Linked DNA regions of Lepisosteus oculatus. The protein of the gene in region 2 interacts with the protein of the main gene of each other region in a pairwise test. Links are inferred from orthologs where the notes say so. Each region holds a gene or a part of one and is shown on either strand. Other genes may lie near its edges.

Region 1 (9,972 bases), on a different chromosome or scaffold from region 2:
TTTGTGCAGCTTATACATTCCTTGTTTGCTATTATTCCTGCTAAAATGGCATTTCCTAAGTAAGGTAAGGCAAGGAGGCTGATGTCTGGTAATCTTCCAGCTTCTCTGACCTTCTCTAGACAATGTTTTGACACCCAGGAATTTTATTTAGAGTCACACAGTCCTCCTTTATCTTTTCTCTGGCAAGATGTTAATGTGTATCACTGCCTTTGCCACATGCACTACATCAAATACTTATGACGCACAACAACCTGCAGGATTCCACAAAAATGTGTCAACAGGTCATCTCTATTTTCTTTGAAATGAGTAGAATTTTCCCAAGGGGGATTTCTGTAGGAGTCCTTTGCAATCTAGGAATGTTAGAATGTCTGTAGGAATTTTAGAGTTAATGTACAGTATAGCAGTATTTGTTGTTGCTGCTGTTTTTATATGAGATGGTTTGTGAAATATTTGATTAATAATAATTCCTTGTATTTATACAGAGCTTTTTCAAAATATATACAAATAATATATATATATATATTATACATACTGTTATTAACTTACCAACAAAGATAATTCTGGGAGCATAGTGGCCATCAGGCGCCAGATTCTTGTCTATGGTTTCATGCTGTGGATCGTTATATTAAGTATTCAGTCTGAGATATATACTCTTAGATACAAAACTCTAAAAAAATATTCCAGACAAATGAATAGTTAAAAACAAAACATGACTAATTTCTTAATTACAAATCAATAAAATCTCTATTATTCAAAACAAATAAATTGTACTGGTAAAGCTTTCCAAAGTAGAGGGACAAATAAAATTGAACTGCAGATATTCACATTGAATGACTTCAGTGCCACCATAGTATGTAGGATGATACAGAAAATCTGATACTAAAAATCTGAAAGTCTTTCACCACTGTTAATGAAGACAATAATCATTCTTAACGGGATTAATTGATTAAAGTTACTGGCTAATAATTGTCTCCAACTTACCACCAGATTAAGCATTACAAAGTCTTCTTGGGCCATTTTCTGCAGCTCAGTGTCAGCAGCAAACACCTTTTTAAGAGCTTAGACATACAAAGGGATAGATATATATAAATACATAGAGAATAATAAAAAATGGAAGACATGATGACTATGACATCATTTAAATCTTCTTATGCAAATAATATTTTTTTCATGAGGAAAGATCCAATGAAGAACTTTTAATTTAATCTAGTATTTTTAAGAATACACATATATACCTTGACTGTGCGGGCAGTCTTCTAGGTGGTGGATAACCATCAAGGGCTTCTGACTGAAAAAATAAAGATTTCAACAATGATCTCTATACAAGAAGTATATTGAAACTTCCATCCATTGTCTTAACCATTTTATCCAATACAGAGACACAGAGGCGCCGAAGCCTATCCAAGCAAACAACAGGTGCAAGGCAGGAATACACATTGGACAGGATACCAGTGAGGAAAAACATACAGACTCAAACACACTCACCAGGACCAATTTTCACAGAAACCAATTAACCCGTGTAGTGTGGTTTTGAAGTGTTGGAGGGAACCACAGCACCCAGAGGAAACCCATGCAATCACAAGATGAACATACAATCTCCACACAGATAGCACCCCAAGAATTGAACCCAAGGCCCCAGCACTGTGAGGCACCAATGCTGACCACTGCACCACCCTACTGCCCAAATTTTAAACTGATCATTTCTCATGTACGTCTTGCCTGCTTATAATTGTATCAGTGAAGTATGAATTTCCAACAAAGGGTTTTTAATATGAGGATAGGTAACACATGCAATGCAGCCCTGAAGATATACAAATTGCAAAGCTTTAATGCGTATTGTTTTGACACACCTACTGGGAAGGTATAACCTTAAGAGTTTGCTAGGACTGGTTATTTAAATGTGAATGAGCATTAGCTTTGGAAATCTATCCATAAAGTGTAGAGGATAATAAACCTTACCTTGTTCTAGATTTTGCTAAAGCTTCCTCATAGGTTTGGGTCCAGGTAATGTCATCTCCCCATCCTAAAATATCACACAGAAATTGATCATTATTATTAATAATGGGAATAGGAATATATCAGTTACAAATAGTTTTGTTATAAAGGTTCTGTAGACAAAACTAGAAAAATGAAGGTGTGTGTGGCTCAAGTATGGCCCCAGGTCTAATGAGGCTTTCCTGGGGTAAACACTAATATCCAGAGTACACACTGGATACAATTACCTTATTAATTAGTTTATTTGGCATTTGAAATCTTTATCCAAAGCAAACTCACCTTTGCAAACTCACATTTAAAGAGCAATCTGAGTGAAGGACCTTGTTACAAGGTATTACAGCAGCACCCTAACCATGATTTGAGATCCACAACCTTCCAGTTATGTGACCAGGGCTCTAACCAAAATCCATGCTGTAGTCATGACAATAATTGCAATTCCTAAACTGTAACCAGGCCTTCCGAGAGCTCAGATGAGGCCTGGGCCATTTCACATTGTGAGGCCCCCTCGTTGTTTGGGAAGAGGGGTAAAGAATGGCATGATGGGAAGATTAAGGTGGGCATTTTGAAACTCCTAAAGAATGGTATATTCAGCACTGAAAGGGGGGCATTTTGTCACAGCCATGGACTTTAGTCGGGAATCACAGCATATGGTAAAAGTTCCAAATTTGACTCAAGTCAAGAAACACAGCCAAAGGGTTCAAGTGGAGGACCATGCACCCTTGGCTGAGGTGAGGCCCCCCTGTGAGGCGAGGCCTGGGCCAAATGGCCCTGCTGGCTCCCCCTCTCGTAGGGCCTGACTGTAACCCACAAATTAGTAGAATAAGGCAAGCAAGCACATGATATTGTGACAAATATATTTTTAATTTGCAGTTATTTCCAGTTTTGGCCCTCAAGTAACAGTGTAGGGAAACAGACACAACTAACATGTATCTGTTAGCTGTGTCATGTCTGGAGCAACACCACAGTTCTATTCTTTGAAATTCTGTAGAGGCAAAGAGGTACATTACAAAATCACAGAATTAATTCAGAGAAGATAAAGAAACCAGGGAAAACTACCTGAAAAGGCCCAGGAATTATACCATTACCAGTAAAGAAATGGTTATTATTAATACTATTGATAGCAAAGGAGTGGAAGACTGTAGTCAGAGGGCCAAAGAAAGATTCAAGCTTTTGTTTTGCCTTTGCTTGGTCAGAAAACACAGTGCCTGTCTGTAAACAAAAAATAAAAGAGCAGTATGGTTTTTTCTCTCCTTGTCTGACTACTTTTGTGTACTTAGACCCCACCCATTTGAATGCACGGAGTTTCGATTTTGCCTGGGATTCCAAACCCTAATTATTCACACTATCCAAGATTTGTATTTCACAATGTTAGAAGAGCTGTACTTACCCCTGGAAAGGGTCTGAGGGACCTTTTTTGCTTTTCTTTGAGCAGATACATCCAGACTTGCTACAACAAGCAGGATACAAAGAACAGAGGAGCGACTCATAGTTCTGAAAAAGACAGATCTACTATTAATACATGTACTATTTCTTTTTCAACATTTTAAAATTTCACAATTAGCAGCATTTAATGGTCTCTGTTTATGGCACAGTCGAAACAATTTCGTGATGTACATGTACAGTAGATGCATTCTAGTTTTTTTCTAGATGTCTTCTGAAATAATTCTGTTTGGATTTTGAATCAAGATTTCAATTATTAACACACCCATTTTACTTTGAAATGATACTTTAGATTTTAGTGCTATATATACTTGTACTTAAAACTACTGTATAAAAATGAGTTTGATTTCAAATACAAAACTTTCCACTTTAAATAATATAGATTATAATCCTGCCTTTCATACAGTATTTTAACCTTTGTTGTGTACCATTACATTTTAAAGATGCTCCCGAGTTTGTCTTATAACACTTGAACCAGATATCAATGAATCATCAAATTGCCTAAGCCCTTGAAACCCTTTTGAAGCATATATTTCAGAATTTTAAAGACATCAGAAATATCAGTCCCATGTAATACTGCTTGCACTTCCACAATCTTGTCTTTTAGCATTCCTGTTTCAGGACTAACCTGTTCTAGGAGGAGATTCAACACAATTGTTTTAAGAGAGAATCTCTTCCTACTGTATTTCTAGCACAAAGTGTGAGCGTTTTACAAATGTAATACTTTAGTTTTCGTTTTGTTATAATTGATCTCATATAATAGAATGACACAACAGTATTTGAGAAAAGTAAAAAATGTCCTTAAGTTGCATGTTTCCCCTTTACATCAGATCTGTCCACCCTCTAATGTTTTCCATCTATTTGTTTCTGTTTTGGTTTCCAATAGGGTTGGTTTATATTTTTCTATACTGACGTTTTGACAGCTACTGTATAGCAAATATAGAATTACTTTCCTGGGGGAATGTCACAGCAAAATTCTGAATTAGTGATGGTTTCTTTATCTCATGTGGACTAGCTTGATTTAGAACACTTGTCTCCAGTTTGTGGGGATTACAAAGAGCTGTTATTTATTAAGTTTAACTCTTCTTCAATTTAATAATTCCCTTCTTTACTCAATTATTATTATTAATCACTTATTTATTTATTTTTTTGCTATATCTAATGCTGACAATTAGTCAAATATATTTGTAAAACCAATTCTATGATAATCCTGGTTGACTAGAGATGAGTAATACTGCTTTTAAGTATTCTACAAGAATATTTACCAAGCAGATAAATCTGTTTCAAAGATTGAACTTTTTCAATCACCTAGATACAGTACGAAAGAGCCAAGTTTCGTTCTTACCTGTTGCTGTCTTGAAATGTGAGTGAATGTTCGTTGAATTCTTACCTCACAAGCCTTCTTTTTATAGTCATCTAACTCATCTAACAGGTGTAGCAAAGCTTGAACGTCAGGCATAACAAACCAGGATATCCTTATCTTTGAAACACACTATTCAAACACGCCTCAGGGTAGGGAAGTACTTACAGTACATAAATGCTTATACTGCACCTTTAAACCCAATTTTAATCCCATTGATTTTAATCATAGGTGGAGAAAGGCTTCTTCATAATATATTTTTACTGTTCTGTATTTTTTTAACAGAAATGATTCAATCTTTTAATCTAAATTAAATTTTTTAAGTACCACTCATTTTAAACCTACCTGTGGTTGTAGGAAACCACAGGGAATGAATCTATGTTTTGAACCTAGTTTTGAACGCTGAAATTAAATTACATCTTTGGCATTCAGGTATTCAGGAAAATTAATGAGAAAGATCTAACTATCAATGTATTTAGTGACTTACTTTTTTATTAAAAACAATAATTTATTCAATGTTTTTTTCTCATTATTCATCTACATTTAAGAAGCAAAATATGATGACACAAACAAGATACTAGAAATTTTCATGAACCACAATAACAATACTTCTGAATTTTATGCTTGAAGACCTGTATTAAAGTACATCTTGGTACAGCACCAAAGTACAAGATGAGACTCACTCTGTAGTATATGTTTTACTTTTTTTATGGAATTATTGTCCTTTTGTAGCTAAGATTTTTTAAAAATCAATACCTGGTTTTAAGGTATGTTATTGATTAACTTTTTATTAAATCATTTCACTTTTATTCAATTTTGGCATGAAAGAGAGAGAAAAAGCAATCAACGTGCTTCTGTTTATTAACTGATTCCACTATTTCTATTTCTCACTTTTTTTTATTCCTGACGTCCTTGTGTTAACAAGCTAGTGATCTTTTGGCATTCGTTTTTTTGTAATTTATTATTTTAAAAACAAAAATATCATTATATACAGTACTTCATAACCCAGCATTTTTTCCATATTCCCATCCTGTTATGTGATTGAAAGCACGCCTAGACAAAACACAGTGCTACTTAGTGGTACACAGTTTCAGAAACCATAAATCTTTTTCAGAAAAAGCATTAAACAAAAAAGAAAGAAAATGTACAGCAAATAGAACAAAAAGTACACATTTCACGAAGAAAACGGTGTGTTTCATAATCCCCTGAATGCAACAAGACCTTAATTGCTTAGTATACCCTAACCACTCAGAGATGTGCACATCAGCTATAGCAAGCTCCCCAACTGTAAGCACGCTTTTCATCTGTTCCCTTGGGTGTGTCCAACCAAGTCATCTTGACGCACACCTGATAAAGACCTATTCAACTATATTCACCTACTGTATGTTCTTTTATTGAAACAATTTACTAAGTAGTATTATAAACTATATGCTATGAATGAACATTTTTATCACTGTGTCTTTCACAGGGTTTAACTATTTTCTAATCAATTTAAACTTAATAATAACAACATGTGCTTAAATTGGCATAGACCTTTTCCTTCCAAGAAATCCCGAGTGCTTTTCACAGAGAAGGGGCCCACTTCATCCATCACTGACCTGCACCACCCACCTGGGTGACACTTTGCTGCCCCTATGCGCAAACAGCCCCTGTACATAAAAGTGTTAATTTTTATGCAGCCATCTCACTTCACAGTTATTATGAATTAGGCACTTTATTTAATGAAAAATGATGTTTTCCGAGATCCACAATACTTTATAAAGCGTTCATTCTAGATTTTACTTCTGATATTACAGTAGGTGTTAAGTATTCTTTATTCATATGAAAATGAATTTAAAAATTATATGGGATCAGTAAAAGCAATAATCTAGTTATGAAGATTTCTAACTTCCTGGATCCCCGTACAGAAGAACAAACAAGCTTCCACACTTAATCATCTTAAAAGTGAAAGATAAACTAAATGGTTCACCAGACATTCCTGTTTCAGGGTATATCCTTGTTACTACCTTAAGAAACTCTTATGTTTAAAGTTAGGAGTGGCTGCAGGATCTCTGCATTAAAGCACATTAATGGTGATGTGCTGCTTACTTTCAAAGTAGTTTACATAAATTGCTTGAGGGGTTATTGAAGATTTTGTGTAGAGAAATTGGAGTAATGTTTCCATTGATGGAATCTAGAGAACATGAAGAAGTTTAATCTGTAAAGATTGCTCTTGTAAAAAGCACAGTTTTGTTAGAGTTAAATGGGGAGAGATAAATATCCAATGTGTAATTATGAACTGTTAAGTTATGTTTTTTTAAATGTTGGTTAACAAAGCAAATGAGAAAAAAAACCAAGGTGATTCTAATTCTATATAATTGTGGTTATAGTTGCAGTATATTTTTCTATAAAAGCTTTTTTTAGCTACTAATACTAAGGTTTTCACAAAAGAAAGAATACAGAACAAAATATTAGAACTTGAAATACATATTCTATACTGGACAATTAATGCGTCAATCATTTTTATACATTATATATGGGACTTTTTAGATTATAGATTTTAACTTGATATTGTTTAAGCTTTCTTCTATATAAATTTCCTTTACAAACATGCAAACTCATTAATTAGATGGGGGTAATTGATTGATTGATTGATTAGTTTTTAAAATGTTTTGAAAGAAAAATGCAAACAAGTTTCAAGTTTTAAAAATGGTTTCCTTATTTTCCATCTCATTCTTCACAGACACCTTTAGGTTACAGTTTATCTATACTTCCTAATTTTAGATAAAGGTACAAAAAACTATGGCTTTGTGTTAGTGCTAGAGCAATTATTTTACTTTAGAATTATTTACTTCAAACTTGGTTTTATTTCCTTTTCTGTTATTAATCTCCTACAGTACATTTTATATAAGGATTTTTGCTACATGAATAACAAAAACTCTTATCCCATATGGTAAAAATTCAAATGATGTCTATAACTCAGATTAAGGGGTGTTGATTTTTTTTCCTCATCAGGAATTCTTGATAACTTATTTGGCACAAGAACATATAAAGATCAAGTTCAAACTCATACAGGGATTTTGTCAGTGCTAACAGCTTTAGTTGTTCATTAACTTTCCATTACTGTAAATTCAGTGAAACGTTCTAGTAATAATTGAATTAAAACAGTGTTAAAACATTGATCAATAGCAATAACTTAAAAATAAGAATGAAATAAACCATGAACATTTAATTAATTTTTCAGCTATAAATGCCCTGCAGATATTTTGGTTTTTAGAAAAGGACCTCAAACGATCCAATTCTAAGAGCCTTTGGAATTCTTTGCATTTCAGTTGTTACTTGTTGCTAAGGATGCAAGCCTCGCTTGACAACCATACGTCACTTGCGCAGGCGCAGCTAGGTTTAGCGATGCATTGTGGGATCGGAAGATACCGACGTACTGAAAGCCCAGTGATTGCAGAATTTATGTGGTGAAGTGTTTCTTTCGGTTCGTCTTCACCTAAAGGACTTTTGTTTTGGCGTTTGTCTTGCTTTGCTGCTGCTATGAACGCGTCAGTGACCAAGAAGACCCAAGATACCTTGGGAAAAGTGATTAAGAAGCCGCCTCTTACTGAAAAACTGCTTAGTAAACCGCCGTTCCGCTACCTGCATGATATATTCACCGAGGTGAGAAACAGAACTGCAATGACTGACAACGGGAAAAATTGGATTTGTTGAAATATCCGTGGCTTGTTTGCAAGGAGGAGTTTCTCTGGTCTGTGTGTGTTTGTTTCGGAGTAGTGCATTTCAGTGGGACTAAGTTTGGGGTGAGGCTGTTCAGGAATAAAGAGTAGTAAAGGCTCAGCTGCAGAAAATTTAAAAAATGCAGTTAAGTTCTCTGATGTAACCTAAATAACTGTATTTTTTTAAAAAACGGACAATAGTCGGTTTCAGTGTAAATGCTGTAAAGGGTATGCGGTGAACACCTGAACTGTCTGAATGATGTAGAATCGAACTGGCGTCTTCTGGTTGCTAGGCACTGGTCTCTGCTCAAGTACACTAAACAATGCGAGGCCTTGATGAGTTATTTAAATACAGGACCGTAAAATACAAATATACCTCATCATTTTCTGCCCGGTGTTTGATTCCGTCACGCTACCCTTTATTTAAAAAAAAAGTTTTCTGTTCCATAGCAGTTGGTTTTAATCCCGTAATGTGTCCCCACAGAGGACACATTACATTAATCGCTGTCCTGCTGTGTCATGAAAATGGTAGCTAAATAATTTGTGCTGTTTTATTGTGCCAGTGTCGCTAATTAATATTACTGAGGTGTTAGCAAAACGATTATTTTACTTTGTGTCGCTCAAATCCAGTATATAATTATTACTGATAATTCAAACAATTTGGTCTAGCAAAGCATTATTTTATTAGGAGCAACATCTGTACAGAGATTAATGCTTTTACCCTTTACATCTTTCAAGAAATGGCTAGATAAATCCTTGAATGAATTAATTCTTTAATTAGCAAATGGGTTAGATGAACCAGAAGGACTTATATCGTTTGTAACTTTTCTTATGTCTAGCTGTTTCTTAAAAGCGCTCAATATTTTAACCTTAACCTGAAAAGGTTGTTCCACAAGCCAACAACATTTGTGTTAAGAAGTGTTTCTTGTTTTCCATTCTCAATGAATTCCCTGTGTCCTTATTTTAATACTGAGAAAGAATTTCCTGGCTTAACCCTTGACATTTTATATACAGCATTTTATAATTGCATCTTCTCTCAATCTCTGCTCCCTACATTATTGTATAATAAAGCCCTGATTGTAGGAATTATTCTTAGAAAGACTTTAAAAACTAAATGCAATTGTAAAGTGAGGTCCTTGTAGTGCATTTAAAAAAAATAAGTAGATATTTTCTTAAATTCTGCACTTTTTAATATAAAACCAAGGATTCAATTTGCTTTTTTATTGTTTTATCAACTTTGTTTTATTAAGTCATTGCTTAGAAGTGTCTACATTAAAAACCCCTTCATGTGTAGCTCCCGACAGTTCACCTGTATGATATACAGTATGTAGTATACGATCCTATTACTGTAGCAGTGTGAATAACTGCACTTATTTTAAATTTGATTTGCTGTGTATCTGTTTACCCCATGATTTTGTCTCTTCGTATTTCTTTTGCTACTGTGTCTATATTTGCTGCTCTCTCTGTTTTTGTATC
Region 2 (10,448 bases):
CAGGGCTGCTTCACCTCACTGGAGGTTTGATTGCCTCTTTCTGAATCGCAGACAATGACATCAATACGGCGCTGTGCATACCTGGAAATTTCAGCTACTTTGTGATGTCAATTGGAGGTTTTATAAGTTATTGTGTACATTTTACTCTCACGGTGGTTTGAAATCCACTCATCAATGCTGATTCTTTCTAAGCCGGACATTTAAAAAGAGAGTTGCAGTTCCCCTTTATTAGTGTGACTTAAGGGCAGGAGCTCTGCCTTTAAGATGGTTGAACTAAATTTACAAGCTACCGGGTGACTTTAAAAAACAACGATGCGGTAAAACTTTACGAAGAGGGACCTCTGTGCGCCCGTGGGAGTGGCTCTAGGACCACAGCGAGAGCACAGCTGGGCTGCGTGACTCAGTTCGGCAGCAGCGGCGGGTCCACAGGGGACAGCTGTCACTGCCGGCAGGACCCTCCCGCCGTTTCCCTTCATCCTCCGGCAAACAACTCCGAGGCCGCTCCGCCTTCGGTCGCCGCCGGTCGCTGTGCGTCACACGCGTTCGCCGAGACAAACGTTTCCCTGAGATTCCTCCTCCCTCCCTCCCCCAGGCCTACAGTGAGCCCCTGAGGGGGCGCTGTAGCAGCAGGGGAGTCACAGGCCGGCGAGGAACTGACCTGCACGCTCCGGAACGTCGTGATGAACGGCAGCATGATGTGATAGCCAGGACCGTTGGGGACCGTCAGCAGGGCCCCACCTCTGAAACAGAGACCGCAAGCGAAACGTCTCCGTCACCAGCCTTCATGGAGCAACGGCTCCTCCGGTGTCTGCTCTCAGAGGTTTAAGTTAGAGGTGATTTTAAAACGCACAAAGCCCTTTATTTCACGTGAGCTTCTAAGCGGGCGGAGCGGTGGCTCTGTGGCTAAGGATCTGCGCCTGTGGCTGGAAGGTTGCCGGTTCAAATCCCACAGCCGGCAGAGGAATGAATCCTACTTCATTGGGCCCCTGAGCAAGGCCCTTAACCCCAACTGCTTCAGGGGCGCTGTACAATGGCCGACTCTGCACTCTGACCTCAAAGCTTCTCTCCCTGTCTGTGTGTCTCATGGAGAGCAAGCTGGGGTATGCAAAAAGACGAATTCCTAATGCAAAAAATTGTATATGGCCAATAAAGTGATTTTAATCTTAATCTGACATCGCTCACAGGCGGGGCTTTGGGGCGAAATCAGAAAGCGGGACCGAATGGGTTAAGGAAAATCGGTAAATGTCAGCGGAGCTCACAAACAGCAAAGCCACCCCAGAACATACCCACAGGGCTGTTTCCACTGTGAATGAGGAACACCGTAAACACAAGTCACAAGACCGACATCTAATTTCTTCACAGGTTCAATTTCTTTATAAGAAAACACAACTGAAGCTTTAGAAGACTAAAGGGAAAGTGCACACACCTTGAATGAACCTCAACCACACCAGGGATGCTCAGGGCAAGGCCCCTGCGAGGCCAACAGCCTGCTTCAGGAAAGGATGTTGAAACAAACGCTGAATCTCCTTCACACTGTAACGCCAGATCACACTTCCCTATAAAAGAGAAGTGCTTCGTGCACAAACGCTCGCCTATACCCGTCTTTTTTTCGTAAAAACATTTGCATGGGTGTTGTTTATCTTTTCTCATTCCTTTTTGCATACTGCCGTCGGACACGTGCGATCCAGCGCACCACACGTTTCCTTCCAGCTCGCGTCACTGGGGAGGCTGAAACGGCGGGCCGAGACACGGGACGTACCTGTAGTACACAGCCAGGTGTCCCTCTTCGATCTTGTGGATAGAGGAGTGCAGCAGGACAGCCAGCACGCCCGTCACAGCAGCGACTACAGCCCCGACATGTGCCATCGCCATCCCCGCTCCCGCCACGATCTGGGCAGGGACACAGAGCAGACGCGTTGCACTGCAAAGCCTTTCACAAATCTCCCTCTCTCTCTCTCTCTCTCTCGACTGTGCCTTGTGACAAACGTAGAAGGCAGTGTTGCCCGTGTGAAATACTGAAGACGTCGTGTGGGGAAATGTGAACAAGAGAGCATGAGCTGGCAAGCACCAACTTCAATGTGCATTTTTTCAAAATGAAATAGGGGAGGTTAACATATTGAGTTAAGTTAGGGGTAAACCTGGCTGTTTCCAGGTTTAATAATGTTGTGACATAAAGGGGTTCCCAAAGACACCAAAGTGAATTCCATCATATCCTTAACTGAAACTAACAACCTACTCCCCCTAATCTCTACAGCTTGAGTAAGAAATTAATTCCTGCTTGTCTTCACATCTTAAACAACACATTTAAGACAGGAGATTACAGTAAAGCAGAACTCTGTGGATGGAATAATACATGTCCTGAAGCCATTTTAATGTGCTCAATTTGAAGACGTAAAACTGATTGCACTTTAAATACTGGGAAGGTTGAGGACCAACACATACCCTAAAGAGCTGACAGTGTGATCAAGAGTGATAAAAACACTCTTGCCAAGTATTTACGTATAAAGACCGCATAAACCAGGCTTAAGCTAGACTGTTTAAGCATGCTTAATTAAAACACTGATAAAATGAGAGAGGAATTCAGTAATACTACACTTGGGCCAGGTCTCTATAAGTCCTTAAGAGTGATTTTCTTTTTACACAGCTCATAGAAGGTACCACCTACCTTAACCAAGATGTTCAAGAGTCATAGCGGCAGCCTTGGGTACAATAACTGCTCAGAAGTAGAACATGTATATACAGTACTGTGACACATTTCATTTCAGAACAAGGGAAAAACAGGTTTCACACTGAGGTGCAGGAAGGTAACAAGTTCTCTGGGAATGACGCATACTGAAAGAGGTTTACAGGAATGCTCCAGACCACTACAGGCCCGAAGAGGTTTAAACCAGTGCTGAACAGATCATGTTCCATGGCGGGCAGGTCGGTTCCAGTGTGAGACAGCTGATCCCTTCCACCCAGCCCACAGCTGTGACACATTCCACAGCAAGAAGCAGGTGTCCCCAGAGCAGGCTAGGCTGTACTGTGGGCTCAGCTGCAGTCACGCCCCCTGATAACTGACAAGCCCACGAAACCAAGATCCACATGTACTGCAAATGATGTCTTATACCAACACCGAGAATGCACAACCTAGTGAGTTCACACAGTGCATCACAAACACCCACTGAATCTCCAGGTTGAGCAGTATGTTACTGCATCTATACAGGCATAAGAAACAAGACAGGTTTCAGATCTGTAAAGTGCATCAAAAGCATAGGGTGGCTGAACTTCAGCTTTTCAGACTGACTCAAATACCACCTTTGGAACTCAACACTAAATGAAATGTGTGAAAATGAAATGAAATGTGAAAAGAGAATATTGCACAGGTACTCGGAACAAATATTCGAAATCCTCAAAGTCCCAGCGGAATTCTCCAGACTTATCAGTGAAAACCTATCCATGCCTTTAAAGTTGAATTCCTTTTTTTATTTAAATTCTATTAGAAATTTAAAGAATCAAAAGGCAAGGCATACAATGGAAATATGTAAAAAGTATAATTTTAAGTTTTTACAATTGTGAATTCTTCTGGCTTTGAAGTGTTTATTTCTGTATCTATTTCATTATGGTGTTTAAATAAGAACTTGTTTTTTTTTTAAAAAACGTATCAGTGAAAAGCGAACCACTGGATTCAAGTAGAAACTATGGGGAAGTGCAATATAACTGAGAACAGAAGCGCTTTTTCACACAGAAGCCTGGTGTGGGAGTATGGCTTCTCTCAAGAAACAGACGAAACTCTCCATTCTGTCCGGGAAACATCTCACATTCTTTTAGCAAACACAAACTGGGCCTCTTCAGATTTGCCGTCCTTGAACTAAACCTTTGTTTTGGTTGCTCTTTCCAAGTATAACAACCTTGCTTAAGCCCATCCAGTGGATTACCCTGCCTTCCTCGTCTCCCGTGAGCAAACACCGTGCTCTTGCGCCTCAAATCCACAAGGAGCACACATGAACTCAGTTTAGCCTAGATGTGTTCCTAATGTTCTTGTCTGCTCCTTTTTTTTTAAATATAAAGGCACTTTCAGATGTATATTTAAACTTTCAGTTTATAGTTTGAGGTAATGCTCAAAAGCAACTTCAGGCGCTCTAACGATTTACTGTCAGTGTAAAACGTGATCTTTAGTCGGAGGGAATGACGTTAAACTGGAAATCGTGTCCAACATGATTTTTTTTGCTTGCCGTATAGTACATGTTCGTTTTCGTGAAGGGCTACCTAAATCGATACCTCCTGCACAATTCCAGTTGTATGGAGACAAATATACACATTCAGAAACGGAGAAAAAACACGAGTTACAACATGACCGGATCTTTCCCACAAGCCACAGTGGCTTATCGCCCCAGGATCTTGCTACTGTCTGCAGTAACAAGACCGCCACTCCGGACTCGGGACTAGCGGCCACAAGCACGAACGCCGCCCCTCTGCCCGTGTCCGTTCCTCGATTAAACCCGCAACACGTTATTTCAGCGAAGTTTTTCGATGCAATCGAGCTCTCCAACTCCCGAGCCCACGAACCAGTGCGGATTCAGCCAGTTGCACGGCGTGTAGCAAACAGGGAGGAAAAAAAAAAACTCCATGACGGATTACCATAATGAGTAATGGATTGCACACGTTAAATTAATTTAAAAAAAATCCCAATGCACTCTGCTCACCAAGCTTTCAAACAGTCTCTTCTGACAAGTCGGTTATGAGCGAAATCCTCCCTGTCCATCCCCCCCGCAGGACTCACTGCAGCAATGGACTCGACTCGCAGCTCCAGCGCCGCTTCTCTTCCGGGTGAAGAGTGCACCGCCCGTTAAAGGGGAGGGGAGAGGCCGGCCTGCCTGCCTGCCTTTGCAAGTATGCCGACGGATTTTGCGCTTAACCAGGTCTTACCGATTTTCGGTGACTCAACAGCTGTCAAATGGTACGGGTGATTGATTGCTCGACGGTTGGCATTTCGTGACCTAATCGCACTCCGAACCGAACACCCGTTTTTGAAACGGGATGAGGGCAAAACATCTGCGGGTTAGCGCCCGGGAAAAATAAAAGTCCCCCCCCCAGGAGTGTTTCTGGAAGACAATGCCTTTAAATCGGAAGATATTAGTTCATCGAGAAAAGGTGAAGGTACAACGCCAAGAGCAGCGAGATAAGCGCAGAGCGGTATTTGTCTTGGCACGGATTTAAAAAAAAAAAGTTCACACAGGGACGTATTTCACCGAACTACATGTGCAGGAGGGGCTGGTTCTGAATGTGTAGGTTTCCGGAAAATGATTTACTAAAGGTAACAGAAAAGATGTCACAGCAAAACAGAAATGACTTCTGTGAAGATGCAAGAACGGGCAGGCAACCCATCTGCCTTGCGCGTTTGTGTTCGCCCGGAGGCAGGTTCCCCGGGAATGTGTGTGTGGAAGGGTATCGGCAAACCAGCCGGTGTCTGTGCCCAGGGACTGTAGAACTGGGGGTTGCATGTAAGCTGTGAGACAGCGGATCCAAATATGAATTTGGCGGAAGGCTTTTAGTAGGTATAAAACTTCACTTGACCGGAAGGGGAAAAAATGCAGTTCAACATCACAGCATGCAGTAGTAAATCTTTTCATAAAAGTAAATAATAATTCTGAGCACTAAAACCCAAATCAACACATTACAGGTGCAATTGTGGTATTACATATTTAATTAATCACAATAATATGCATTTTTACACATTTACAATCAAACTGGTGTACACACTTTCAAAACTGTACAATTCCATCATTTAACAATTCCCAAACAGTATAAAATTACATGTTACACATTATCAGGTGTGTAGCTCTTCAAAGCAAAGCAGCATAAATTCATCTAAAAGATGCATCTTATGGACTAATAACAAAAAAAACGTCCATTGCATTACAATAAGAAACTATTTTTACAACTGCAAATTTCCTTTCAAAGAGCAAACTCCACTTCCATGTCCTTTTCAGTAGCAAATATGTAGAAATATTAAAAGTAACTGAAGTTGCTTTGTAAATCTTGCAGCTTATGACTCCAAAACTTGAAGTCTGTGAAAATATGTACTTGGTCTTGACAGCTCTCCTGGAGTTGAACCGTTTTGAATTCTGGGTGGCACTGCTTCATTTATGGTTATAGTAAGGCTTCACAACTGCTGTTTGACAATGGAACAAACAGAAAACACTGTTCACAGGCATTTCAGCAAGCACAAGAGAGATCTGTGAGCTCACAATTACAGGACACATGTCAGAGGTAACATAACCCTGCAATGGTGGAGCTCCCCCAGTGGCAGGACCTGAAACAGTCTTGAAATGGCCCGGGCATTTAACAGGCAGACTGTTCTGAACTGTGAGGATTAAGGTAAGGTTTCAGATACCACAGTGAAATCTGACCATTGATTAAAACTACCAGTATTATCAATTTATCATCATGTCTGCTAGCTGTATCCTTGAGAAAGGCAATTCACTCAGATTGCTGCAGTAAAAGGCCCAGCAGTGTAAACAGGAATGAATATAAGTCACTTTTTAAAAATGTCAAATAAATTAATACAACTAATGATGATGTGTCTTATAAGAAAAAATGGCCTTTAAAAGTGGAAGAATAAAAGAAAAAATAATTATCTACAAATTCTTTCCCCTTGAATTTTACAGAACGGCACATTAAAGTCCGGTTTCTCATGAATGCTCATCTTCTAAATACTGCAAGTTAACATTTTCCCTTACCCAGTTTCAAACTGAAAATCTTACAAAATCAGTTTTCTGTCAAATTCTGTTTACGTAGTAGACGAATTCCTCAACACTAACACTGCAATAAGATTATATAAAGATTTGTCAGCTGTGCAGTTCTATACAGGTGTAAAGAAAAACCTTTACTTCTGTCTGAAGGACTGTTTTAAGACAGTTCTGACAGTCATTCCATAGAAGGACTATATGAAGCAAACTACTACTTAGAAATCAGACCAATAAATAAGTATTCAATTGCAATTTTAAAAGCTGTATGTGCACACAATTATATGCGACTACAAACGTCTACTTTAACATTCCCTGAAGAGAAAGTCATGTACTGCCTAAATCCACTTTTGACTTATAAAAGCAGTCAGAGATACAAACAAGCCTAGAAACAGATCTGAAAAAACTACTACAGACAGTAAAGAAATTATAGTTATATGTGGGGTAATAAAATACTCCAGTGACTATTCCACTGGTAAAGACACATCCTCCACTTAAGTTCACAGTGAACTTTTAAAGTGCATTTTCAGATCATGAAAAATTTCACTGTTTAATACGATACTACAGCATTATTCCTCCCCACCCCCACCAACACCAATTGAAGCGGCCCACAAAAATCAGATTCTGTTAATTCTGTAAATTTTGATAAGTGTCCTACTATTTTCTAAAAAGGAACCATGAGAAAATGCACAAGGTAGCAAGGAGAAAAGTTTTTTTTGCATTACGTGCTTATATTTATTCCGTCCTTCATAGTGGTTCGGTTCAGAAACGAAAATGCACAGAGTACACGATGTCAGATCACATCTTCAGCTTGGAAGAAGAATTTTCTGACACCTCTTTGTGCAAGCAGACTTCAGGCAAACGCTTGGGGAGATAAAGCCCATTACTGACGATGTACTGCGCACTGCTCTTTTCTGCTGCACCTCATCAGAACGCACGTTCAAGCGTCCACAAAGGAACATCATCTTGCTTCAAAACAACCGAGAGACTGGGAAGCTCATGCCTGAAATAAACTATGCTCTGATAACAAGGGGGAAGTGCTGGTAAACAGATTTCAAAACAAATACCATTAGTGTTAACAGATGAGGAAGTCAGAACATTTGTCTGAAAGCCACACTGCTGCAAAAGTTTACATTTTCGTCCTTTTCATGGACAGAGCTTCATATTTTGTCCAGCTCCAATCTTGATCCTAAAATAATAAAAAAAACAATTTAAGAAAAAGGAAATCTCCACTCCTTAGGTTTTAAATTAAGGTTAAAGAATTGTTACAGACAACCCTGGCACTCCAAAGTCCAACTGAAAATACTGTATTATAGCCTTCACCCACCAAAAAAGTTACACTTGTTTCTGTTACCATTTGAATACCCTGTTTTTCTAGGCACGACTTCTGCCCTGCAGCTCTGCAAAGAGCCAATGTGGAGAAAGAATGTGATGCACAGTAGGCTGAGCACTCTGTATTTGTAAGACATGTTCTAGAGCTTGTTTGTGCATCTAAAATCATTCACAGCTTCCTGCTGAAACAAAAACAAAGTCAATGTATACATCAAACAAAACAGGAACATAAGAAATACTAAGTACAGTAATCCCTCACTATATGAGCAACCACTATATGGGTTTTTGTTACAAAAGGTGTAGTAAATCCTACCTGTTTTTTTCAATTAACAAGATTCTTCTGTTCACTTACTTTTTTTAATTTTTAATTACATATTAACTTTTATAATAAATGCTTATGTGCTTTAAGTATTGTTAACGCCAGCAGCCATGTCACCCTGCAACTTAAAATTGGCAGCACACTGAAGCTCAGCAGGTGTGAGCCTGGTCAGTACCTGGATGGGAGACCTCCTGGGAAAAACTAAGGTTGCTGCTGGAAGAGGTGTCAGTGAGGCCAGCAGGGGGGGCTCACCCTGCGGTCCATGTGGGTCCTAATGCCCCTGTATAGTGACGGGGACACTATACTGTAAAATAAGCGCTGTCTTTCGGATGAGACATAAAACAGGTTCTGACTCTCTGTGGTCATTAAAAATCCCAGGGTGTTTCTCGAAAAGAGTAGGGGTGTAACCCCGGCGTCCTGGCCAAATGTCATATTCCCCCTAATAATCCCCCTCTATGAATTGGCTACAATACTTTGTTCTCCTCCCCCCCCCCACACTTCGAGGGCAGGCAGAGCGACGCGCCGGTTGGAGTATTCTTGGTCGCATTTAATGGCAACGTCAGCTCAAAGATTTGGTTCAAACCACCAAATTGAGATGGGCGTGCTGACAAGCAGACCCTGCTGATGCGGGATTAACGCTAGGATGAGAGAGTGTGCTTTAAGTATTGTTACAGCTTTGGGTGACCGAGAAATGTCTCTTAGATTTTAGATAAAGTTTGACACTGGGAAGAGTAAACACTTCTAGCTTCAAAGCAGAGAGGATGCTTGCTGAGGTCTGGGGGTCCCTTGAACAGAAACAATAGTACAGTTGATCTTAGTATGCCTAGGCCAGTTGTGGTTTAATGACTGCAAAGGAGCATGGCAGAAAGACACAGTATAAGAACACAATAAGATCACCAAGAGGGAGGAAGAAGGAAGAAACAAGTAGAGCAGGGAGAAGAGGGAGGAGTCTGGAAGATTTGGGACTTGAAGCTTGCACCAGGCGAGAGCCCCTTCTTCTTGATCATCCAAATCAAACCTGACTGGGTCTAAGTCAGTCTAAGTCACTTAGTCTTCAAACCTTGTTAGAGATTTTCATCAGTTTTCTAAACCCCCATCTGTAACAGTATATATTAAAGTACTGAATAGTACCTAATGCATCTGCTACTAACTGTAAAGATGTAACTACTGTACTATATATATGTACTATACATAAATAATGTAAGTGTTATTATTTTTCTACCCATTTTATTTATGCACTGGTCAATGACTTAAGCATGTTACATGAATAACTAACCAAAAATATTAGTTTTCATAGTATGGTACTGTCCTGTGCAGTACTAGGGTGAAATTTGGACATCTGAGTGAACATTTTGGGGTTCCGAAACCAATCACAGATTATAACACTTCCATTATAGGAGTTTTCACTCTACAAGACATTTTCGAGGAACAAATAAAGCTTGTATAAAGAGGTATTCCTGTACTTTTTTTTTTTTTACTGTTGGTGTTGGAAGATTATGCTACAGGACCTTTTAAGGATAACATTGCCAAAACAAGGAAGTAGAACCTGTAAGATCATACAAGTCATATTTCACACTTCATTTATTTCATTCTTAGTCACCTTCCCAGTTCATTATGAGAAGAAAGTAAAAGCAAAGTTCAGATAATAATAGTACCTTATGTTTTGAAAATAATCCCAGCCTGAACGTGCTCAGACATGGTCTTTTCCTTGTATGTGAACATACTTGTGGACCAAATCAATGTATTGGAAATTCTTGTCCTACTACAAATGGACCAGTTCTCCCTGCCACCTGGACTCACCATTATACTTTTCACTTGCTCCTCAGTGGTTTCCTGCATCAGGCTCGTCAGCTGGCTAAGATACATCTGATTCTCTTCTAGTAAGCGAGGCACTGAGTCACTGTTGGAGACAGAAGACAGGATATTATCTGTGACTGTGTATTCACAAGGCACAGAAGATCTGGGGTTCGCTGCAAAATATGCGAACAAAACGGAATAAGCATTTTCTTTCCTCAACTTATAAATCTACAGCATGTTTCTCTCTTTTCCAAGTTCTGCACCTGTCATTT
Region 3 (10,207 bases), on a different chromosome or scaffold from region 2:
GAGACTTTCAACCATTGCTTCGCCATGGAGGAAAAAGGGAAACCTCTCTCAGCTGCCAGAGCACCTGTGCACCTCGATGCCAAATCCAAGCACACTGTCTCCTCCTGCTTCCATTCAGCTCTGCACCATTGAACTCCCAATGTCTTGAACTGAACTTTCACATTTTTCCACCTTTAAACGTGAGTGATATTACCTATTGATAGAATTTCCCGTTTTGACTCTGCGCCAGCTGTCATGTTATTTTATTTAGAAGCACAGTTAAACATCACATTTTTGTTCCAAAAAGAAAAATTAGTGAAAAAAAAAACAGTGAGTGACAGCAGGCACACTCTCCAAGCAACGCCAACTGGTTACTCAGGTCGGCAGATGGGCGGGAACCAGATGGAACCAGTTGCCATGTGGGCAGACAGGTTCAGCCACGGTGGAGACAGGTCACAGCCCAGCCTCATGTCCACAGAGAGACTGATTTTCTATCCTTTAGCACAACCGGTTCTCCTTTTCTTGAGAAAAGGTCAACGGCCCCAGGCCTCCTTCTCCAAGGTTTCTACATCCCGTAGTTGTGGCCTCTACTCTCAGTCTTTTTTTTACTTATATTACAGCTCAGCCCTCAGTTACTTGACTGTGCTCATTTCTGCTTTAAAAGAGCTGCTTTTCCTTTCCAGCTCTTGAGGAGTTCTAGATCTCGAGTGATCTACAACATTTCACAAAACAAATAGAAGATATCCCCTGCTCAAGAGCTCAAAACCATTTAAAGGTTTTAAACGAATAACTGTAGTTGAAGGAGTTTTATTAAAAAGGGTTGGGGAAAGTGCAGTTTTGAAACAGTAGTAAAAATTTCCTTTTCCACTTAATTCACTGCCCAATACATTTTCAGCCAAATACACTCACTGCAGTATGAAATACTTAATTTTTTCAGAAAATGTGGGAAAACGATAAGTGAAGCGTGCTTCTTTCTCTTGTCTGTTGTGCAACACATTGGCCTAACACCTACTAACAGTCTAAATGTTTAACTGAATAGTGACAGGAAGAATGACCTGAAGGACAAACAGATAAAAAGACACTAAATTCCTCATAGGAATCTGCATTACAAGGGGACAATCAGCTAAGAGTTTCTGAAAAGACACAGGAGGAGTTCAGACAATTAAATTGATGCAGGCCCTACAAAAATCTACTGCTCTGATAGAGAAACTGGCTGTCCACTAACTAGGCCCTCAAAATTTACATACATCAGCTACTGCAGCTTCTGCAAATTGGGAAGGGGAAATTAGCTAAAAATGACTCAAAATATATTGCAGAAACAAAAATACATTTTAAGAAGTCAGCCATAAATGAAGTTGTGTTTAGCTGCACATGGTGACATTTGCACACTGATACTGCATTAATGTGTAAATTAATGGAAGGTAAATTTTGATAAAGCATTCTTTAATGAGTTTTAACCTAGGCTTGAATACACCAGCAGGGCAGGCTGGTGCTTTAAAGGCACAGTTATCTGAAGGTGACATTTGCGTATTTATGTCAGACACATTAAAAGGTTATCCAGACCAGCAGGAAAAGTTGCTGGGGCAGTGTTAAGAAGTGAAACAACGCCAGTCCAGTGAAATACTGTCTCACACACTGAGGAAACAGAGTCTACTGTGTTGAAAGTCCTCTAGGAGGTCACAAAATGATATTATATGAATGTGGTTTATGCTAGTTCCACCAGCAAAAATGTCAACAACAGTATACCAATAACTTAAATAATGTTTTCCAAAAATCGATACAAGGTCTGATTATTGATTTCCACAGACAGATGAAAAACCATGACATATACTGACCAGAATGGCCAAAATGTGCCAAACTCCAGGAAAGTGCACAGTCCAAAGGTTTATCTGATGACACTGGCCTGAGTACATGGCCTATTTACAAACAGCTACACCAAAATCACCCCTTACCAAGTAATCTTAATGATAGCCTCTGATGTTCAACATTACCATAGTTCATTTTGCAGATAGCCGTATGAAGGCAGGATATCTGCAAGAAGTAGTTTGTAGGAAATAAACACAAGACTGAGAATGATGGTAACCTGGCGGAGGATGGTTTTGGCAGAGGAGAGCACAGCGGATCACACTTCCGAGCAGCGATCTCTATCAATGTGGACTGGTCCAGGGAAAAGATCTCATCTTTCCACACCTCCCGTAACCACCCGTCAGTTTCTTTCTCTAGGGGGGTCACTCTTCCACTCAACTGAATCTAACACTTCAAAAAAGAAGAGCTCAAACAGTCAAAACAAACCCAAGACTGTTGTGATGCAGAACTAAATCTAGAGCAGAAGGAATCAGGGATGAGACTAGCCCAGTAGTCCCAATTTAACGTGACAAAAAAAAAAGAGAAAAAAGCCTTTTACACATTTGAAGAATTTAGCTCACATCTGTAAAAATAAACTGTGCTTACTTTGGTAAAGAAGCTACCGAAGATATTAATGCAGCTGTTATGAATGAAAGGACACAGCAAAAATTGGTCCAGTAATGTTTGACTAAGTTAAGGAGCAGGAGGACCAAATGAGGTTTCATGACATACCACTCTGTTAAGATGAGAATACTGTATGTTGAAAACATGGGGTTTTAGTTGGGGTGGTAACGTAGGCAATCTAAACAGTAATTCAGATATGGTCTTCAGAATGACGGAGTTAGTCATCCCCTACTCAGGATACAAAACGCATATCAAGTAAATTGGTTTGTCCATTGATAACAGGACCACTTTGTTCTAAAAATGCCACAGAAATACTGACCTCTCCCAAAACTAGGGTCAAACAAGGTTTGTGTAGGCAGGTCATTCATAGAAACAGTCACTAATGGTAACTGAACACAATGCCTAGAAATCAAAGCTGGGCTTATCTTCAGTCTGCTCAGCATAGCATGATTCAATATCAAACATTGCTAAAGAAATCTGAGCATTTCTCCATTTCAATTCCAGTGACGCACTGGATATTTAAATACATGTTATGTCCTCATCGGGGGCTGAGATTCACAGAGATACATGAAAACCTTGCATCACGTCTACATGAAGCTTTTAAAGAGTGCAGTTGTTAATTTTGTCCAATTTAGCCAATACGTCAATTTAGCTTCAGATCTGAGCTGGAATGAAACCCTGCAACCAAGAACCAAGACTAGACAACACTACTCATACTGTGCATTCCTACTACGTTTTTCGCAAGCACAACGCTACTACTGGATCGACAGTTAATGCTCACAGGCATGCAAGTACTCAGTGGAAGACAGCAGTAGAATGTAAAGGGGAGAGGAGTACTGGCACTGTTGACCTGTAAATGGATATTTAGATCACTCTATTTGGCTAAAGAAAATTGCTATGTTTCTCCCTTAGTAAAAGGTGCTAAGGGCTAACCACACTGTGACCATGTCCAGAGTTCTGCACACCTGGTCCTAGAGTCCTACAGGTTTCACTCAACCAGCATATCTAGAAAGCATGTTAAGTCTCCCTGCTTAAGCAACTGATTGATCCATGCCACATGAACCATTGTGCTATGATGGTCATCACCGCTGAGCATTTTGATAATTTTAACAGCATTCACATGCTTTAACTAGAGGCTGCTATCAGTCACTGTTCATTTGCTACATTTTTGGATTTAATAACGCAACACCGATAGAGCAATCCAAGCAGTTACAAACAGGCGCGATCTAAAGTATATACTGCAAATAAAAGGTACACGAAAACGATACGTTAGAACACATTCTGTAATGTCCAATAAAGGAGATAACACGGGCATGGGTTTCGTTTTTAAGTCAAGCGCTGTTGCCTTGAAGACCTCGCATATTGGTTAGAGCTTCCCAGACCCGCTGAGCTCAGATGCGTACTTCGCCCCGAAACTATTTCCTAGTTATTATCCTGTTTCGCGTACCTGCGATACGAGTTGCGCAGGTAGGACACGCCCAGACACACTGGCCCGTTCCCCTGCTAGCGACTCTCGGCAGCGGAGAAAGTAAACCACTTGTGCCGGACCATGGCCGAGCTGCCGGCGGCCGGGAAACTCACACCCAGTCCCTGGGAGCTCTCCCAGACCCCTGGCCATAAGGTGGTGTTGAAAACCGCCACTTTTTGTGCAGGGTTTGCTAACCACATCGCACCTGCAGGCGACAGAGAGGGGGGCTGGCTCTCCATGCTTTCCGTTTTGGCAGATGGGTTATTTGGCTGTAAGTTGCGGCGTGGGTGTGGGAACTAACGTGCCCGGTTTGCCTTTTTCATACAAAGTTCATCTGGACAGGAGGTTACTGGCACCGGCGTCAAAAAAAAAAATTAAAAGTCTGTCCAAATTCCGTTAAATTTGAGTTTCAAGGAGCCGCAGCGGTGTTTCGATATCGTCGGCTCTGACTTGACTGGCGCCGCAGCCTGGTCGCAAGACTTCCCGATTTGGTTAATTACGTTTTATTACGAAGTAATGGTAAATTAAATAAACGCCCTCTAGACCGAAAGAGCTGATGAAATTAACAGCTGGTGGCTTGCGTACCTGCGTGTCCCCAGGGTCTTTGCGCAGTTCCCCGATGTAATACTGCTCCATCCACCGCCTGGCGTTTTCTGAGTGCCGGTGAGGAGGTCCTTCCATCTGTCGGCTGACATCGGTCCCCGCTCGGCTTAAAATCAGAGCTTCCCCGCCAGGGTGCCTTCTGAGGAAACCAGTCACATCGTAGACCCTGTTGGCCAACAGCACCCAACAGGAGCTGGGGGAGCGGTGCTGGGACACCTCCGACTCCGAGAAATACCGAACCGGCGCAGGCGAGGACATGGGGCTCTGGGAAAGCTGAAAACTGACCGTCTGGGGTAAAAAAAGCGGAGCTCCGAGCAGACTGACCAGCTTCACTGACTCTGCGCTCCCTGCCGCGCTGCCCCAGACACCCACCTGCTCATTAACATGCTCATGAATATGCAGCGCACACCTGACTCCTGGCCCCAGCCCGACCTGGGCATGAATAATTCAGCAGACACCTGCTGCTGGCACGGCTCCGCCCGGCTTGCCGCCTACCTGGGCGACAAAATAACGAACAGAAATTTCAAAACGAAATCTCGCCTGTGACTACCAGAGACTTGAGGTTTCCAGACCCAATCTCGCCGTTTCCATTAAACAAAAAGCACACGTACACAGGAAGCGATGAACTTCCTGTGATTTTTTGCTACGTTGCTCTTCAGCTCTTAAGCTGTAGAACAGTGTTTCACGGCCCACTGACTATCTCTCACATGCGCCGAGCCCCCCAAATGCTGCTGCTGTCTGTGACTCGGTCGCTTTTCTGTGTTTTTTCTTTCCGTCAGTCCGGTGCAGCATGGTGCTCTGTGTGTGCCGCATGAGACTGGCTTAATTGGCACGAAGGACTGCTCTAAAAGCTGGACAAGCTGGCTATAAAAAGCGTTTATCAAGAAAGAAAGTGCACAGGGGATGTGACTGACTAGCGCATTATGAAAAACCAGTGATAGAACAGGGCGTGTAGTGTGTTAAAACCACCTGTAACACAACTATCAGACTCCAGCGCAGCTGCTGCCGGAGCTAGACGCGTTTCGTCTACCTAGAAATACTGTACAACCTTCGTGTTTAAGACATCGTGCGCGACACATGTTACGACAATGAGACGTGCAACCCCGTCAACCGCCTCTACTTCCTTTGAAACATTGACCGAGTATCTCCGAAGAGGAGCTCCGTGCACAGACAGGTGGAGCGGACGCTCAGGACCCGTCCCACTCATGGTAGTGACGCAGCTTTGAAAATCGGGGGGTTTGCGATGAGATCACGGTGTCAAAATGTTGCTCCGCGAGTTATTCGGAACCAAGGTGGAGAGGAGGTGAAAAGGCACACGGATGATGTAGAAATATGTCCTGGTCTTCCTCTGCATTAATTCTATTTCGAATAAAGTCCTAAACGGAAACATGAATGCATAGTTTATCGGACGTGTATCACGGACTGTGTTTTGGCATGATTTCAGTTCGCGGTTGTGAGGCGTGAAGAGGGAATAGCTGAGGGGATAGAGAGTTTGAGAAAGCCCATGGTTTGTATCCTGTGGCGAAATCAAGGCAACTGTTGCGAAAGCATCTGTAGAGTTTTTCATATTTCAGGTTTAGCGAAACTGGAAAGGGCGAGATGAGATCAAGCAGGTGAGCACAGCATTCACGTGTATCCGACTTGTGTAGAGCGGCCAGAAACAGCCAAGAATATCCCGACCTCGAAACTGACAGGTGACCGAAATTAGACAGCTCTTGTGACATCTGACGGCTTCAGGACTAATATGATATTTTCGTTGGGGCGGACGGGACAGGGGTAGAAAGATTTGTTTGCCTGTTTGCCCCCGCATTTCGTTGCACTGTCCTGTCTCATTCCCGTGCTTTGTTTATAAATTATTCATGGCTAAATTAATAACCGTGAATTTAGCATGAGAACTTTTAGCTTCATTAAATATTCATCGTCCGCCTGGAGCGAAGCCCTTTGTTGGTGAAACTGGAGTCGAGCGCTGCCTTTCGGTTGTTCAGAGCTGGGCTCTCCAACCCCGGACTGGACTACCTGGATCCTGGAGCCGGAGCGCTTTCCGGCAGGGCCTCTAGGATTAAAGCACTCTTAATTGAATACATGAGTCGCTTATTTCATGAATGCCTTACAGGTGTTGCCAATTGTTAGAAACTGGTAACATAGAAGACTAGAGCTGGGTTACAGCTCTCAAGTAGCAGGGTTGTAGACCCCTGTCTTGTTAATGGGATCAATCCATGTCTTAATCAGGAAGAATTTGCAGATGTTTGTTGATGTTTTAAAACCCATACATGGAAAAACCCTGTATCTGCAAGTTGTTTTACGTCTTATAGTGATCATCAGTACCTGAAGGGCTCATGGAAGTTATTAAATGGGCCCAATTAACCCAATAACAAGCAGATTTAGCCTGTTAAGAACTGACGTGAAATAAAAACCTGTAGAGGCTCACTGGGCCAGGACTGGACAGCCCTACTAGTATATTTTTATAAAGGGTAAAAGTCAAAGGGAAGTATAATAAAAGCTTTTGCCTTCAGACCCTAAAGAAAAGTTTGTTTCTGCCAGTCTTGTATATGACCATCCACCCACTGCCTTATCCAATACAGGGTCACAGGGGAGCTAGAGACTATCCCAGCAGGCAAAGGGCACAAAGCAGGATACACGCTGGACTGGACGCCACTCCGTCGAAGGCACACACAGACTCAAACACATACACATTCATGCCAGGGCTCAGTTTTCCAGAAACCAATTAACCTACCAGTACTTCGACTGTAGGAGGAAACTGGGGCACCCAGAGCAAACCCACAAAAATACAGGAAGAACATACAGTACAAACTCCACCAAGATAGCACCCCAGGGCCCCAGGGCTACAAGGCAGCCATGTTAACCACTACAGCACTGTGCTGCTTAGTGTCCTACTTAATTTTCCAAAATAAAAGAAGTCAACAGGCACCCATGACTCATGCCAGATCTGAAACCCTGTCTTAAAATATTGAACGTTGGTGTGCTATTTTGGTTTTTCAAATTTCTGTTACGCATATTATCATTCATGACCCTCAGTTACCTAAAAATACTTCCTGCATGTTAAAATTTCACTTCATTTGCATCAACAGGATTTTGAACACCCCCCAACCTCTTCTTTCATTTAAGTCTGTGGGAGAGGATTTCCTGAGTTCAGCTTTCCAAACATCAATAACCAGACTTCTCAGAAAACATTTTTGCTTTCAAAAACATTTTGCTTTCGTGAACATACTCTTCCTTGGAGTCTCTGAAGTGGTGTCATGGTGTTGTTTCTTGTCAAAAGTTTGTCAGTGTATTTGGTTTGGGAATTATTTAAAGGTCTTGCTATGAAACATTCAATTAAAGTAGACCTGGTTTAGTTTAATAGTCTGACTGCTTCACACGGTTACTTCTCCTTCATTTCAGATGTTTACGGTTTCTAACAGGCTCAACTGGAAAGTCCCATTAACCTAAACTGCTCATTCCTACACCAGTAATTTGATCACATGCCAGATCTTCTGATCTCAGCTTCCTTTCTGGCTCTGCCTACTGAAAGAGCAGGAGCCCACAGCGACATTCTTGCATCAGTTAATCCATTTCTTCTCTGTTCTTCGTGGATAATATAAATTCCTTTCATTTTTTATACTGCACCACCTTTCATCCCTAGAGATCACAAAGCAGTTCAAAAATATGCAGGGACTCACTTCAGCCACCAGGTGCAGAATTGGCCTGGATGACACGCAGCGGTTTCCCCAGCAGATGCTTGGCTTGGGTCACAGCTCGTTCATGCACACAGCCAGAGACACTTGCGCACGCGCAGGCCTTGCACATAGCTGTTCTGTGGAAGGGGGCCTGGCCTGCAAGCCGATCACAAGATGATCTGAGTGATTTCCTGGCCAAGAGGAAGCTCCTCTTTAAGGCATTTTTATTCATTGCGGCAAAAAGAGAATTGCAAACGAAAAGGAAACTTAAAAACAGAAATGCATGGAATATCCACTCCCCTAACAATCAATATCTCGCATAAGAAAAGCCAGCATCTCAGACGGGGAGCCTGTGTGAAAGAACATGGGAGGTTCTTTAATTTGTACAGAATGTGATCTCATGGGAAAAGCAATACAGAAACCACAATCGACACATCATCCATTTCAGCCAGTGAAACACATGAAGATGTGAAACCACAGGACAGAGGCTGAAAGCTCTTCAGGCTCTTACACAGAGCAGTGGTAATACTGAACAAGAGCTGTGGATGAAGTAAGTGTGTCCAGATGCATTCAATTCTCATGTTCAGATCAAGAAGAATCGGGACGTGTGATGCACTACAGCAGTGAAACCAGAAAAGGCAGTCATGCTGTGTGCAAAAAACTAACATGAATGAAATGACAAGCCACAAAATTAACCCCAGACCAAAAACCCTCAATCCTAACTGCGCAACTGTAGGAGCTTCCGAACCAAAAGACCAGGCTTCCTAAAGACAACAAAAACAAAATCTTGAGCGAAATATGTTGAGGTAGAAAAGAAAGCACGTTAGTGGGCTTATTTTAAACACCACTTTTTTTTTCTCTTGAAGGTACAAGTAAAATAAATAAATAGTAAGAAAATAAATAATACAAATTTGATTTAATTCAATATGAATTAATGTGTTCCAAGAAACCAATGTTCAATTAGATTAAATGATAAATATTTCACTCTTATTAAACCTGGCTGACTAGGAGCACTTAAAACTGCACATTTAACTCCAGTGTTAAATGTGATAGTACCTGTATAATTAGATTTAATATGTGTTATTGTACAACTGGATACCAGTTTCAGAAAAAACATTGAATTCCAATATTAGACCAGTTTCAACAACATGGCTGGGTAGTTTGTCCAGGACAGCTGCTACCCCATTAATAACAAAATGCTAAAATTCTTGGTCAGACCTCTTATTTTGACAAGCAGATGAGTATTAAATTAGAGTTATCTAATTTCTTAGACATCTGTGGTGCAATTGTACACAAACAACTGCAAGTCCTACCAATTTAACATTTGAAATCACAGAGTTTTCATTGCTTGTGTCTCTACGGGTTTGTCACAATGCTTTTTATTGGTTGTTTGCCGTTCTCCTTGTGTTCATAATATACAGTACCCTAAATTCACGTGCTAGCACTCTGTCAATTTCCTTATTCTGTGGTATCTCTCTTTGCTAGGCTGTGTGAATCAGAATATTTTTGCACCATAATAAATATTATTGTTGTAGACACAGTTTTAGCCATAACTGTAATCCTTGCAAGATCAGAATGAAAATCAATTGAAAGGGCGTGAAACACCACAGTGGACTGTTCTCATTCTTTCTGTTGTATTCTGGCTGTGTGCAGGTCTTTTATCGGGTCGGGTGGCATTTTCTGATTTGTTTGTCTTCCTGTGCTCATTGTATGGTGTTTAGTTTCGTTCGTGTAATCATCTAATAAGGATTAATGACACTGTACTGACTGCACAATTTGAAAGACATGAAATGAAACTGATATTATTTACCTGACGTGTTGCACAAGCGTTTCAGAATGACGATTAAAAAAAAAAAGTTTCTTTTAGGAAATGTAGCAGTGCCACCTTGTGGACATGTCGCATTCACTGTATTGAAGCTTCGTCTGGAGAAAGCATGTGGGTATTTCGCTTTAACTGCGAAATTATTTTTAAAAACTGTACACAGTTTTGTGACGCCCACGTCCTGAGTCG

Evidence for each region.
Region 1: the proteins of erlin1 (region 2) and agr1 interact in binary tests that used the Homo sapiens proteins (3 or more experiments, as listed by UniProt). The two-hybrid records come from large-scale screens. The link is inferred for Lepisosteus oculatus from reciprocal best matches to the Homo sapiens genes ERLIN1 and AGR3.
Region 3: the proteins of erlin1 (region 2) and fa2h interact in binary tests that used the Homo sapiens proteins (3 or more experiments, as listed by UniProt). The two-hybrid records come from large-scale screens. The link is inferred for Lepisosteus oculatus from reciprocal best matches to the Homo sapiens genes ERLIN1 and FA2H.

Annotation. Positions count from the first base shown.
Region 1 is NC_090707.1:21,563,427-21,573,398, forward strand, and holds the start of agr1 (anterior gradient 1), read right to left. Parts: upstream 4,878-9,972; 5' UTR 4,781-4,877; intron 3,487-4,780; 5' UTR 3,483-3,486; coding exon 3,383-3,482; intron 2,024-3,382; coding exon 1,960-2,023; intron 1,289-1,959; coding exon 1,236-1,288; intron 1,059-1,235; coding exon 982-1,058; intron 611-981; coding exon 547-610; intron 1-546. Other genes in the region: traf3ip1 (TRAF3-interacting protein 1), read left to right, coding at 8,318-8,440. UniProt on the Homo sapiens protein: Required for calcium-mediated regulation of ciliary beat frequency and mucociliary clearance in the airway. Might be involved in the regulation of intracellular calcium in tracheal epithelial cells.
Region 2 is NC_090699.1:17,616,437-17,626,884, forward strand, and holds the start of erlin1 (erlin-1), read right to left. Parts: upstream 4,817-10,448; 5' UTR 4,686-4,816; intron 1,891-4,685; 5' UTR 1,873-1,890; coding exon 1,760-1,872; intron 741-1,759; coding exon 659-740; intron 1-658. Other genes in the region: chuk (inhibitor of nuclear factor kappa-B kinase subunit alpha), read right to left, coding at 7,858-7,917, 10,180-10,279, 10,440-10,448. UniProt on the Homo sapiens protein: Component of the ERLIN1/ERLIN2 complex which mediates the endoplasmic reticulum-associated degradation (ERAD) of inositol 1,4,5-trisphosphate receptors (IP3Rs).
Region 3 is NC_090715.1:11,401,565-11,411,771, forward strand, and holds the start of fa2h (fatty acid 2-hydroxylase), read right to left. Parts: upstream 4,878-10,207; 5' UTR 4,778-4,877; coding exon 4,502-4,777; intron 1-4,501. UniProt on the Homo sapiens protein: Catalyzes the hydroxylation of free fatty acids at the C-2 position to produce 2-hydroxy fatty acids, which are building blocks of sphingolipids and glycosphingolipids common in neural tissue and epidermis.